Linked DNA regions of Nothobranchius furzeri. The protein of the gene in region 1 interacts with the protein of each later gene in a pairwise test. Links are inferred from orthologs where the notes say so. Each region holds a gene or a part of one and is shown on either strand. Other genes may lie near its edges.

Region 1 (2,795 bases):
ACCTGCTGAAAACAAACATATAAAAGGAACCAAGCTAATTAAATTTAAAAAAAATCTAAATTTAATCCAAGAAGCTAATGGAGCTGTCAGCTGCTGCATAGTTCAAACCTTACACTGTCGCTCCTGCACACAGGACGGTAAAGTGCTCATGAACAGAAACCGAACAGATTCACCTGGATGAAGGTTTCTGTTCAGATACATCAGACATGATCTCAGCTCAGGTTAGAAAATCCCCTCGGCCAGTGATCATCACTACGCAGGGTTTAGATTTTTCTTTTTAATGGCACGTTTTTGCACTTCAAGGTCAGACAATACAGAATGTGTCGCTGCAGGTCAAAACGTATTCTTGATCTGCATGCAAGCAAATAAATAAATGGAAAGAAATGTTACACGCTTGCACATCTAGAGATGCGCTGAAGTTTGATTCGGACTTATTTAATACTCTTGACCTACTCATGTCATCTCAAACATCTACAGCTTTCAATAGCACAAAAGTGACAAATAAGGAGAAATTAAGTCTCTTTTTTACTTTAAAAACCTCGTTTACTTCAACTTTTACCTCTTTTCTCAACATATACATTTTAAAGATACGTAATTTTGAGTTTTTGCAAAAACATTCTTGAAAATCCCCTCATTCAGTGCATCTCTAGACACAACAGTTCCCAAAAATCAAAACTGCTGAAAAATCCTAGACACATTCAAACTCCTCTACCTGATTAAAAAAAAAAAAAAAAAGACTGATATACAGTACCTGCACAAAAATAAACTATTGTTTTTGCATTCGTAGTATGCCGTGTTAGTGAAAGCCACATTTGAGTTTGAATCCCTCTCACTGCCACAGATGCACTTGGCTACTTTTGAATAAAGCCCTATGTAGACAGAAGTGCACACCCTGTGTGTGTAACCCACTTGTAAACGTGTATCAGTGCAAGATTTGCCTGAAGGTGACCACAAACGCTGGTAAAGCAAACACTAAATAGCAGAATACAAACAAGCTGCTCTTAAAGAGCCCATGAGTGGAGGCTTAGATGGGCTTGTAAAGCAGAGAAGTGACGTATTTCTTTTTATATCTGTGAGTAGCACTCAGCACCATGACTCCATCCTACACAAACAAAAATAATGAGATTTAAGAATTTATATCAGAAAACGATGCAATATTTCACGTTCTACCTGCCACGTCTGAACAACGTGAGGCAGACTTCAGCTTCCAGTGCACCTACCTTTATGGAAAGAGCATAAAGGTGATTTAACATCACGTGGTTGGGTTCAGGCAGCAGGGCAGGGTCACACTAGAGCAGGGTGAAAGGAAATATGATCAGTGGCAAATTTAGAAAGGACATTGAAAGTATTCAGCTAGAATTCAAAGTAGACCGATGATGATGGAGACACTGACAGATACATTAGTGTCCTTGTTGAGAATGACTTGAAGCAGGTGAGGAGGGAGAATCGGAGGGGCTTTGAAGTGCTCCTCGGGTCTAAAGATGTACTGCTCCTGTCCGTACGGGCCTGGAGGGGAGCTGGACAGATCTAGAACAAAACAGTTCACACTTTGACTGATGACACCCTGCTAACCCAAATAAGGAGTCACAGCGGATCTCACCTGATGTGTCGGAGCACTCCAGAGAGTCGACCTGCAGAGCGTCAAACACCTCAAAGTCTGACTTCTTCACCTGGATCAGGTTGTTAATGGTGCCGAGTTGACTCGTTACCACCGGCTGCAAGACAAAACAACGACCCAGTTGGTGATGATCAACACAAACTGCATGAGTGGAAGCAGGTCCTGATGAGCATGTGAACAATTTTGCAGGAAAATACCAAACATGGGCTTCCTTTCACTTATCATATATGATGTAATGGTGGCTTTTGTGACTCCGGCAAATAAAATAATAAAATAATGAGTCAAAAAAAGCAATAATTTTTATTTTTAATGGAGAGCAGGGTGAAATGTTGTGGATTTAGTTGCAGAAGGAGACCGACGTACTTTAATGAATCCTGTTTACCTGTTTTAGCGACTATTTTGTTGTATTTATTTTCACATTTACTCGCTCGACCGAGGAGATAAAAAAAAAGCTAGACTTGCTGTTTCCCAGCACATCATTTAAACCAGGCTGAAGGCTCCCGCTATGATCCAGCGGAGAAGCTGCATTCACAATCTGACAGTTAAACATAGTTGTTTTATGACGTGTTCGACTCCAGGCTGTGCATCAGCCAGCAGGCGATTGCTGCTATCGATTTTCCCAGCAGCTCATTCATCTTGTCAGCGTGGGATGAGACAACAAACCTCAAATGCTCTGGCGAATCATCTCATGGTTAAAGTGGCTCCTCGTCTCAACAGCAAGTCAATTTTCCTTCCACTTAAATTATTCATACCGTACTCTCTTTTATTACTCACCAACTTTACCTTTCAGATGGTGTGAGAGGAAAAGACGTGAATCCTGTTACACAATAAAATCAGTGATTTTTGGTTTCAGATCACTGATGAGAGTGAAGTTCCTTTTACTTCAGGAACCTACCCATCTCTATTTTTAGTTTCTGCTTTGTATCTGGTTTAAGCTGCACTACATTGTTCGGAGCCACCTCTGCAAACTTTCCAGTTAATGGTCTACAGGCTGTTATTTACTCTGACTGGGGGTTGGTGTCTCCACACCGAACTGATGCCGAGCACAAATAAATCTGTCGTGTCTTTTGTTAAAAACAAGAAGCAAACGAACTAACAGGAAAATGGAAAACGGCCTGTATTTTATATAGCGCCTTCTAGAGTCCTGGGACCCCCCCCAAGGTGCTTTACAACACAG
Region 2 (3,662 bases), on another chromosome or scaffold:
AAACATAGTTATAGCCAGCATCCATTTACCTGCATTTGATGTCTTTTTCCACCTACAGACCTACAGTAAATGCAAAGTATGAGGAGGAGCAAGAGACCAAACATAAATTTTGTTTATGAAAAAAGACACACAAAGATGGGAGTAAAACACCCTCTCATTCCCCCCCCCCCCCCCCCCCCTCACTCCTTTCCCATTTTCTATTTTGCTATAATTACTTCCAGGTGATGCGTCAGTATAATGAGGGCCTGCTGACCAAGCAGGAGCGGTGTAAGCACTTCATTATCCGGCAGCTGGAGGTGTTGGAGAAAAACGTTACAGAGGAGGAGGTGAATGAGATGGTAGCCACGGGAAAATGGGAGATGTTCAACGAGAACCTGCTAAATGATGCCAGAATCACACGATCACAACTGTCAGAGATTGAACAGCGGCACAAGGTGAGAGTGACTGACCCCAAAGGACACTTTAATGTAAAATAATTGGCATCTAGCCTTTTATGACTCTTCTTCTTAAAGACCAAGTTCACTTGTTTTTCCAACACGTCTGCAGTGGTCTCTAGAATAGATGAATGCCTTGTGAGTCGATCTCTGTGGGGAAAATGCTCTTGTGCTCCTGTTTCAGGAGCTAGAAGTTAGCCCAGGGGAGAGGTGAGCAGAAAACAGAACGTCTTATTTCCTGATATTCTTGCCTCTGAATGGCTAACAGCAACACAACTCTACCACTGACTCTGTTTGCTCTGCAATGTTGATGTTTTATCTCCGCAAATTACACAAGCCTGGAGGAGTTCTGTTATGTGGTGGAGCTGCTATTGCTAACGTTAGCTTCTACTAGCCAAGACGTTCTCTGCTGTTTTCTGGATGCTAAACCAATAACATAAACCAGTCAAGATGGGCAGTAGCGGTTTTAGGCATGGGCAGACCGGGCGGCTGCCCGGGGCGGCATTTTTTCATGACACAATTGGGGGCGCACAATCGCCAAGTAAAAATAAATAAATAAGAAGAAACCTGAGCCGCAACATGGTTTTCCATCTCTCAGATATCACTGTGTCTGGGTTGGAACCAGCATGTTGGCACCATCGACATACATATATGGACAATGGGTTTCCATAGACTCCAATAACACGTTTTTGTGCTAAAATAGGAGGTGGCCACCACCGCCATTTTGACCGTGTCACAGGTTCCGTCAAGCCCAGACAATTCCACAAAAGGGAAGAGAGGTGGAGCTGAGGGTGGGGCTGTAAGGCTGGGATCAAATGACGACACCCGGTCGAACTAGCTACAAGCTAACCTGAAGCTAACCCAAAGCTAATGCGGAGGTGGGAGCTAAGCTAACGGAGGTAGCAACCTAGCTACAACCGGAGTTAACTGTGCACAACACCAGAGCTTCTGAGTCAGAGATACGCCGGGCTGACCGCTGGGTAAAACTGGGTGGAACACAGAGGTCTCCGAGAGCTCCACAAGCCATCATCCCGCGCAGCAGACAGAAGCAGTGATCAGACAGAGATGCACCGAGCTGACCGCTGGGTAAAACCGGGTGGAACACAGAGGTCTCCGAGACCTCCACAAGCCGGCAGCCGCACAGCAGACAAACGCTGCGGCGATCTGAGAAGCGCAGAGCTGCTGCTGGGGAGAACCGGGTGGAAAGGTTTCCATCCCAGAGCTCCACAAGCCGACAGCCCGTGCAGCAGACAGAAGCAGCGATCAGACAGAGATGCGCCGAGCTGCGGGGAGGGGAGAACCGGGTGGAAAACATTGGTCTCCAGAGAGCTCCACAAGCCGATAGTGGGAACCCAGCTCCACCAACATGTTATGTTTCAACCCATTTTCTAAAGTGCAGCATCATGTTAAATGCACTGGGTTTTACCCTATTACATTTAAATTTCATGGTTAAACAGTACATGTTAAAATCTAAGCTCAGCTCGGCAGTGACCTAAAATACATAAATATAATTTTACTTACCGAAAACAATGAAGTGGAGACTCCTTGGACGCTCTATTAGTGCAATTAATGCCACAGCAAGTCATTTTGTCCAACAAATGCACAAATAATATCCAAACAAGAATACACAAACACAGAGACTCAAAATCCCAGAGCAGTGTCCAGGCCAGACCGAGGCTCTACTGAGGCCTTTCCACGGAGCTAGCTCTGTGGTCACGTGGGTCTGATGCTCATTAATTATACAGAATTTTAGGCTTTTAATCCACTTAAACAGAAGAGTGAGAAAAACATTCACCCCCTTCAGAGTTGTCATGAGTGTAAACTAGATCATTTAAACCAAAAACATGTTTTGGTACCAGGCTGTCAACATGTTTATTTCTGCTGTGAAATTGGTATTTTTAACATGGGAGTCAATGAGGATTTGCTCGCTTCTGACACCAGCCCCTAGTGGATGAGGGTGGAACTGCAATTTTGGTACTTTCGGGTTGTGACCAATTTTTGAGCCGCATTGTGGGGGCTTGGTTGGCACCCCCTAAAGGCGCTCCTGCACAAGAGAATAGGGCGGGGCGCGGGGGAATTCACCTCATGGTCTCTCCCAAATGAAACAGATGGTGGTGGAGAGTCTAAATCAACTGTATTAGATGACTGATGTTCTTCCATATAACGCAATTTAATTCATAATATTATAAATACAGGCTTATAATTCCTTCACATTTTTCTGAATTATATGAAATGGCCCAAAAAAACAAAAAAAAAGAGGAAAAATAAAACGATTTTGTCTTCACCCACCAAGGTCAATTGGTTTAGTCTTGACTCGTGGTTATTGCTATTGACAACTGGAAACCTGTTTAGAGTTGAGTGCCAAGCGAGATGGACAGAAAAAGGCCAAAACCACCAGGTGCCCAATTCAGGAAAAGAAGAAGAGGAAAAACGGGCTAAAGATAAAGGTAGCACGTTCTCATGATAGGATGCACGTTTTTATTTTTTTAAGCCGGTTAACTGGGGATTTTGACGGTTACATTTGGTCAACTAATCGCTAACAGAGCAAATAGCGCTGAAAGTTTGAAACGAATGGTTCGAATTAATTCCTTGAATCCTTTTTTAATGATTCAAGCACGAGGATTGGTTAACTGCGCACTGCAGCCTGTGGCCTGCCTCCTGAACAACAAAAACACGTTGATCAAGATTCATGTTCACATAATAATGAATAAACTCTACAAGCAGAAAAAAATGTCCCAGTCCTCACTAACTTTCCTGTTATTAGCATTTCCAGTACTACTGAAGATGTTAATGAAATACATTACTGGTCTACTGATCATAGCATGCCAGCAAACTCATGCAGTCTCCAAACATGCATGTGGACCTAGCTGTGAGCCTTTTGAAGACGACACCAAGGTCTCCAGAGCTACAGGGCAAGTGGCTTTGTGACAGCACAGATGGCAGCCAAAGAAATGTGTGAAAAAATTAATGTGGAGGCTGTTTTGAAACCAAAAAGGTTGAGGTCCACAAACTGCCACTTTTCATATGAATCCCATGATGAGCCTTTCAGTGATGCCCTTATAAAGTCAAGGGATGTCTCGCCCAGGGAGCAATTCCAAGTAGAACCGCCAGTCAAGATGGGTGAGTCCATGAATGTTAATTTGCAGTGTGAAGTAGATCTGTCAGGCTTTTCTAATCCAAGCCTTTCCCGGTCTGTTTTCTACCAGCGGCTAACGCAGGCAATAGGTG

The links.
Region 2: the proteins of prkab2 (region 1) and stx19 interact in binary tests that used the Homo sapiens proteins (3 or more experiments, as listed by UniProt). The link is inferred for Nothobranchius furzeri from reciprocal best matches to the Homo sapiens genes PRKAB2 and STX19.

What each region holds. Positions count from the first base shown.
Region 1 is NC_091751.1:56,448,576-56,451,370, reverse strand, and holds the end of prkab2 (5'-AMP-activated protein kinase subunit beta-2), read right to left. Parts: intron 1,716-2,795; coding exon 1,601-1,715; intron 1,528-1,600; coding exon 1,394-1,527; intron 1,290-1,393; coding exon 1,221-1,289; intron 1,103-1,220; coding exon 1,025-1,102; 3' UTR 603-1,024; downstream 1-602. UniProt on the Homo sapiens protein: Non-catalytic subunit of AMP-activated protein kinase (AMPK), an energy sensor protein kinase that plays a key role in regulating cellular energy metabolism.
Region 2 is NC_091754.1:3,808,705-3,812,366, reverse strand, and holds part of stx19 (syntaxin-19), read left to right. Parts: intron 1-221; coding exon 222-434; intron 435-3,662. UniProt on the Homo sapiens protein: Plays a role in endosomal trafficking of the epidermal growth factor receptor (EGFR).